2 linked regions of the Kluyveromyces lactis genome follow. The protein of the gene in region 1 interacts with the protein of each later gene in a biochemical or structural test. Links are inferred from orthologs where the notes say so. Each region holds a gene or a part of one and is shown on either strand. Other genes may lie near its edges. The genes, in order: YKU80 and YKU70.

What was found.
Region 2: the proteins of YKU80 (region 1) and YKU70 are reported together in a solved structure, tested with the Saccharomyces cerevisiae proteins (4 studies listed by BioGRID, with this or other methods). The link is inferred for Kluyveromyces lactis from reciprocal best matches to the Saccharomyces cerevisiae genes YKU80 and YKU70.

What each region holds. Positions count from the first base shown.
Region 1 is NC_006038.1:1,103,920-1,107,812, forward strand, and holds YKU80 (ATP-dependent DNA helicase YKU80), read left to right. Parts: upstream 1-1,410; coding exon 1,411-3,240; downstream 3,241-3,893. Other genes in the region: PMU1 (putative phosphomutase), read right to left, coding at 1-335; SPG4 (Spg4p), read right to left, coding at 447-830; KLLA0_B12694g (uncharacterized protein), read left to right, coding at 3,777-3,893. UniProt on the Saccharomyces cerevisiae protein: Single-stranded DNA-dependent ATP-dependent helicase. Involved in non-homologous end joining (NHEJ) DNA double strand break repair. DNA-binding is sequence-independent but has a high affinity to nicks in double-stranded DNA and to the ends of duplex DNA.
Region 2 is NC_006039.1:549,474-553,290, forward strand, and holds YKU70 (ATP-dependent DNA helicase YKU70), read left to right. Parts: upstream 1-1,209; coding exon 1,210-2,988; downstream 2,989-3,817. Other genes in the region: palmitoyltransferase PFA4, read right to left, coding at 1-572; NGL2 (RNA exonuclease), read right to left, coding at 3,020-3,817. UniProt on the Saccharomyces cerevisiae protein: Single-stranded DNA-dependent ATP-dependent helicase. Involved in non-homologous end joining (NHEJ) DNA double strand break repair. DNA-binding is sequence-independent but has a high affinity to nicks in double-stranded DNA and to the ends of duplex DNA.

The sequences.
Region 1 (3,893 bases):
TTACCTGTACTTCTAACTTGCTGTTTCCCCAGCTCGGTCAACTGAGCGTCCACGAGCGTAACCTCATGGACCCCCGGTTGTAATGCCCAATACCTCTCCCATTCCTGTGTACCGTATTTCGATTCAAGTGCATTATGGTGACCTTGACCGTGTCTTGCCAATACCAACAACTTCAAGGACGAATCCTCATCCAACAACCTTTGGATATCTTCCCAACCACTACATCCATCAACAAATCCAAGATGTTGTCCTTCATCACCACGATGACTCAGAACGTTTTCATCACCAAAACTGGTGAAATACCCTGGAACGGCACTGTACTTTAATCTGCTCATGCTATTATCTCTTTATTATTACTGTGTGTTATACTGTGTCTTAGTTACACACAGGGTTTACTTACTTGTTGTAAATCTTATAAATATATACTAATAGTGGTGTGTAGTTGATTAGAAATTGACCTTGTTGTTAGGTTCTCCTTTACGAAGCATACCGGGATTGATTTTGTTATATAAAGCTTCAAACTCTTCTCTAGTCAACTTCGATATGTCTACCATCTGGGGCATGGCCTCCTCGCTGACACTAGACTTTCTGGAGGAATCGGCAGTATTTGGATCGTTGACCAACTCCACTTTACCAGCCTTCACGTCTGCTGCTAGCGCAGCTGCAGCTGCTTCCTTCTTTTCACCTGTGCTGGGGCCCCGGTATTCACGAGCGAACATGTAAGCCGTCGTGGCTCCCGTGTTCAAGCTGCTGCCACCATGTGACTTAAAGTCAGCTGGTGCGTGTTTGTTCTTGTTGTATACTTCAAAAGCGTCAAAGAATCGTGACATGTTGATTGGTTGTATTGATGATCTTAGTTGTGGTTTGCACTATAACTGAGCTCTACAAATCTATACATACCATGGGCTTACTCATCTATTCTCACTTCGCTGCCCTCTTATATATAGTCTTGACCCCCATCTTGGCCTAGACCCAGATCAGAGATCATGCCTTTGCCTCCCTGGTCATGTAATCACTTGTTACTAATCATTTTAGCCTTTCAAAGGGTATATGTCATTGTACCCTTAATTTAAAGCTTACTACTGATCAAGACATTGGAGAGATAAGCAATTGAATTATCGTATTGACTACTTGTCCCCTGGTATTCTTGTATCCTTGTTATCCCAGTGTTACGGGAAATTAATCAAGGAGTCGGGATATAGAGGGCGAAACACTCCTCTTTTACCCCACTTAGCTAGCCTCAGTGTGTCTCCTTTATCCCAATATTAAAGCCTTTTGCTATTAGACTCAGTGTCTGGAAACAAGATATCACCAAATTGGGGACAGAGACCAAATACAACCAGCACACGTGAATCTTAGCTAAGCCTTAGGGGTACAGAAGGGAAGTCGAATTATTAGCTCTAAGACCCGATGTCCGAACTGACGTGTTTCGTTGTTGATGTTGGTTCTCTTAGTGGTGACCAATGGTTAAAGGCTTTTACATATGTGGAATATGTACTGTTGAACAAAGTTCAATCTCAGAGAAAGACAGATTACGTGCAATTAAATCTAGTTAATGTGTCATCCAGCGATGAGTCGTTGCCCGTGAATAATATGGCCATGTTGCCCGTGTTACCACGGGCACCAATCTCCATCTCAGACGTTAGAAGTTGGTTGGGACAATGGTACGATGAGAGGAATAACACTACTGGCAATGGAGAGGATGACGATGACGATATGTTGTTCAATGGGCTATTGATCAGCGTGTTAAAGTTGAAAGAGTTTGTTGGGAAACGTAAGATGAAGGTTAAGATTGTGGTGTTCAGTTCGCAGGACTTGCAAAATGTGACAGATGAGGAATTGTCCACATTCGCTGATCAGTGTCCGTTTGATCTCGTGATAGCAGATTGCAATGACAAGCAAGGCCACCAGGAGTCTAAACATGGCAATTGGCTGAAATTAGGTACTCCGTTGGTATACGGTATCGATGAGCTTATTCAGTCTGTTGCTGACCCGAAATTGAAATTGACTAGGCCCATTAGGACGTTCCAGGGCCAGTTGAGGTTGGGTGACGTTAACGCATCAGATTTGGGAATACCATCGTTATGTATCAATTTGGAAGGTGTACCAGGTACGAAATCTGTGAGTTCTATTTCCAGGAAGGTGATGAGGAAAGAGGGTTCCTCAGAGGGGCAACCCACGTACCGTGCTGTTAAATCAGTTATCGAATACCAAATCGAAGATCAGAGCGCGAGTACGAGTGCATCCCCGAAGAAAGAAACTACCAGGAAGGACGATGATGGTGATTCCGGTAATAACACTGGACCCCGGATGATTAACGTCAGTAAAGATTTTATCAAGAAGGCGTACCGGTACGGTGCGGATTACGTAGACTTACCGATGCCATTAGACGAGGAACGGAAACTCTCCGAGAAACCGGGACTTGACATAAGAGGGTTTATGGATATAGATAAATTGCCAAGACATTACCTTTGTTCAGAGTCCATGTACTTAGTTCCCGATTCCAAGAACGGTTCTAAAGGTGATTTCTTAGGATTTGTCACGCTAGTAGATTCTTTAATCAAGATGAAAAGGTTGATCATCGCTCGGTTTGTACCAAAATTCGGTAACGAGGTACAGATGTGCTCTCTTTTCCCCGTTAGAGTGCACGATAAAGATCGCAACGAGGTACGTTTACTCGTATTAAATCGTCTTCCAATGAGTGAAGATGAAAGAAACAGTGCGTTCCCCAAGATGTGCGAATCTACCGAGTTGGAGCCCGAAGATGAGGCAATGGGCCAATTTGTCGACTCAATGAATCTGGATAATGATGCACAGGACTTGCCATGGTACGAGAGTGACCAGATACAGAAGTATACAGACGTGGCACTGGAGCAGTCCTCTTTGCCCCTACCACAACGTGAAATGTTCCGAGCCACTGCAAGAAACCCATCAGCAATCCCAGCTATCTCACTACATAGACAGCAGCAAGTGATCCTCGAGTGCGTTCATCAGAAGTTCATCGTTGGGAAACGGGATCAACAGGACTTAAACATCCCACCGATGAGCAAGATGATTCTCAAGAAGATTACTCCAAAATACAACGCTGACGTTTCTCTGTCGAACAGGATCAAGGAACAGTTCAACGTAGTAAAGAAAGAGGTGTCGGTACAAACACCAGTGAATATTGAACAAGAGTTTGAAGAACAAGACCCTGAATTGCTCGATTTGGACCTCTTATTAGCGCGCGGTGCACGCTAGCTAATTCAGGCACTGGTTACATAGTGATATCTATACATATATATATATATATGAGACTTCTGTATAAAAATGCAATTGCGGGATAAAACGTGGTGAATCGAATGGGTTACATCTCGAATGGCAACCAGCACCAGGCAACCCACGTTACGACGGCCCCTTGTCGTCCGCAAACCTGCCTTTTTCCCCATATTCTTCAGATCTCTAAAGTTCGTTTCCCTTCTTTCCATTCTCGACCACGAGATTTCCATATAAGCACAGAAAGAATTACGAGCCACAAGACGAAAAACCTGTTTTAAGGCTTGGCACAGAGATTTACAAACCAATTGATTGCACAATTAATATCATTCATCTTGAACACATTCACTTTGCATTATAAGGTTTCCTTCTGATAATAACATCTACTGATACTCACATCTTTTGTAACATAAAGGAGAGGATAGAGTATTGGCTATTGAACATTATAACTAAACGCAAAGAAGGAAATAGGTATCTGCTACCCCTATCTGAAACAACAACAATCAATAATAATAATAATAATGTCATTGAAAACAGTGTCTGTGGCTACAAATCCTTATCCAGATCAGAAACCTGGTACCTCGGGCTTGAGAAAGAAGACCAAGGTCTTTGAAGAAACTCCAAATTATACGGAAAAT
Region 2 (3,817 bases), on another chromosome or scaffold:
TTATAAATACACCTTCCTAGTAGTGAAGAAACTGTGAGCAATACAAATGCATCCATAGGAGTCATAATGCAGATAAAAATGATCTCTGATGTAGACCTATGATGAAAAGCCGTATGCCTTATGGACCAAAGTAGATAGATTCTTCCAATAAGGAGAAATAATAGGTAAGCAGTAGAGAAAATGACCCAGAATAAGAAGCGCATAAAATGGGGAAAGTTGCTGTGTCCAACACAATTGAGCGTCCAAGGACAATGGTGGTCCATTGCTAATACGCATTGATTACAGGTTTTACAATGATGGGCCCTTTCAGGCTTGTAAACCCGACACTTTTTACAGTAATTATGCCATTCTTCCGCAGACGGCTTAAAATCCTTTGGCGGTATACCTGGGTTGGTATAAATGGCCAAATAGTATGAAACCCAAATCATAGTTTGACATGTTTGATAGAATATTTGCTCATTCCATGAAAGAAAGTTCGAAAGAATGAAGTAATGAGATCCATACCCAATCAATGCAACAAGAAATGCAGGTATTGCAACGCCCAGCCACCGATTTTTCAATTTTATAGCCATATCGGTCACTGGATTATGATGCTCTTTTTGAACAAAAATGATCCCAGCGGTTGAGTGTTTGGTAACAATCCTGGTTCGCAGAAGATGTTTCAATAATATTTTCTTATTGGGGTTGAGGATTGCGGTAAAGATAAGGCTAGACGAGACTGATACCAGAATTAAAACTTGATTCTCAAACCCTTTAATAGCAGTCGTTTATGTAGATAACGTATCTGCCTGTAAGAGATATACATCCCATTGAATCTTTCATATCAAAACTGTATTATTTCGAACTAAATTTCAATGCTCTTGAACGTAGGGATATGACATAGAAGAATATATAAGTAAGTTTAAATTCATGATCCAAATCGTTAGCTCAGAATTAACGGACAATGCCATCCTGAACTACTATCACAGCTCTATTGCTAAAATCTATTCCCGGAACTAGCGAGCATGCTCAAAGTAAAAGTCATTCACGATCACGTGAATGGTGATAATTCTAAAATCAGGGACGAGATCCTTCATAGATAACCAAAGTAAATGAAGGATTCAAGGTTTAGGTTAAAATGAAAAGGGTTAGTGTAACCTTCACAGAACTGAAGATCTAAAAAGTGGGTTACTACGTCAGTTTTCGATAGAAAATTCCATTGCACCTAAGATGTCTTTCGAACAACCTGACTTTTTAAAGAGTCAATTGACTCAAACAAGAGACGATGATAAAGAAAGTGATCACAAGAAATGGAGACGCTACGAAGCACATGATGGTATCGTGTTTTGTATTCAGCTAACACCCACGATGTATCTTTCAAACCCTGATCTTGGAGGCAAAATTCAACTCTTAGAGATTTTAGATTCACTAAATGATTTAATGTCACAATTGGTAGTTGTTATGCCAAGTACTGCAGTTGGCTGTTATATTTACAACTGTTCTCATCCTAACGCTGAAGATAATGTGTATGAACTAATACCGTTACGTGATGTGAACTATAAGAATATGAAACGTGTATCTGATCTGTTGGAAGATATAGAACAGGATAGAATACTTCTCAAAGATGAGATTCCTATCGCAGACCCAAACAACCCAATTGAACTTTCTCCAGTATTGATCAAAGTTAGAGAAACATTTTTACAACCGATAGAAGGACAGAAGCAACTGACTAACAAGAAAATATTTTTTTTTACTGATGACGACAAACCGGCTGAGTTCTTGAACGTTGACAGCAGATCTCGTCTTAGAAAAGTTGTCGACGATTTATATGACTATTATATCAATTTTGTCACATTTTTCATTGGTTCTGAAGATAAACCATTTGACGATTCTATGTATGCAGATATCTTGAAATGGGGTTCAAAGATCAACGAAGCACAATCATGGCTATCCTCACACGGCCCTAGTACTAATCCCATTAATGCATCGTACATAAAATCGAAAGTGAAAAGAACAAAGGAAATCAAGAGAATCAAATTCCGATGCCCCTTGATGTTAGATGAAAGAGCTGATTTGGTAGTTTCAGTGAATGGATATACTATTGTCTCTCATGAGATACCCGGCTCGAAATACAAGCTTGTATATGCCAACGGTAGTGTCAGAAGAGAGGCATACTCTCACCGAGAATATTTAGACGCTGAAACTGGGGAAGCAGTTGATAATAGTCAGTTGTCTAAGGTCTACACTTTTGGCGATGAGATCATAGAATTAACAGAAGACGAGAATCTCAAAATTCAAAGCGGATACAGCGAACATGAATCATTTTTGAAGTTAATAGGATTCAGGTCAACGGAACAGTGTTTACACTATTATGACAACATTGACGTACCAGCTTTTGTTGTACCGAACGAGGAAGACTATGCAGGCTCGATCAAGACACTAGCATCACTATATAGAACAATGTTATTCAAAAAGAAGTCTGCAATGGTCTGGGGAAAACTACGGCCAAACTCTCCACCATCCATGTTTGTCCTAACACCAAGCTCCAAGAAAGATTATAACCAAGGTTTCTATCTCTACAAGGTTCCATTTATGGAAGAGGTCCGAAAACTTCCTGATTTCTTAAATCATTCTGCGTTAATAGAATCAGATGATTATAAAGTGATGAGCAAAGTGACAGAAACTTTGATAAACTTCTTCAATCTCAAAAATGGGTATAGACCATCAGATTTTCATAACCCTGCATTACAAAAGCATTTCAAAATATTAAGGGAATACCTTTTACAGATTGAGGTGGATAAATCGAAACCTGAAGATGAAGGTGATGAAACCCTTCAAAAGGTGAAGCAGATTTATGCACGAATTGCCAGTTCTGCGAAATCTGATGACGTAAAGCAACAACGGTTAGTAAAATACCTGAAACTTTGGAATTCTTTCTACAACCGTCTGAGTAACTTAGAAGTCGATACGAAACCCACCAAAAATAAGAAAGCAAAGCTTAATCTGTAGTGTAGTCCATAGTTAAACAGTTTATGAATATTTACATTATGATTCCCAGTTTAACAATCATGCACAAATGATCACTAGGATATTCACCTTCATGAGGTTGTCCATGCTCTGTCATTTCCTTGGCGGGAGGTATTCTTAGAAGCTCAAGAACTTGAACTCCATAATTTTGCTCAAATGTTGATAGCTCATCTATCTTAGTACAATCGCATCCATCCCATGATGTAACATAATACAAGTAGTCTAACAAACCTCTCCATGCATGTGCCCAATTAGATATTTCAGGTTCATTACGCTTGTTGTCCAATCCTGAGTTTTCAGGATGAACTTTCGAGTAAGCAATTGAATACAAGGATATAGCGCGCATGTCAATGTCATTATGAAGGGTTTTCATGTTCTCACATAACTGCTTTTGCTCTTCGTTGCCGGAAAAAGATTCTGGCACGGGGGTCTCAGGTTGACCTTTACCAAATTTTTCAATGTTGCCGCCTTCTTCTCCTTCTCCTTCATCCCCATCTCTTAGTTTAGAGAAGGTAAATGAAGTGCTGCACTCTATAACTGTTTTAGCCCTTCCGGTATATTCCACTGGTTTTGATGTGATGGACAAATATGGGGCATCAAACGGCTGAGAATTGAAATCGCCACAGAAAAATGCTGGCCAATGTGAATTATCACCGTCTTTTTCGTTTTGAAGAACGTTGATTCGATTCTGGAATTCTTTTACTTTTTTTAGTACAATATAGCATTGTCTTGTCCGTTCATATGTGCCAAATGGATGCCAAAACAAATGTGTGGTACCAATAATTATACCACTGACTTTGGTGTCTGGATA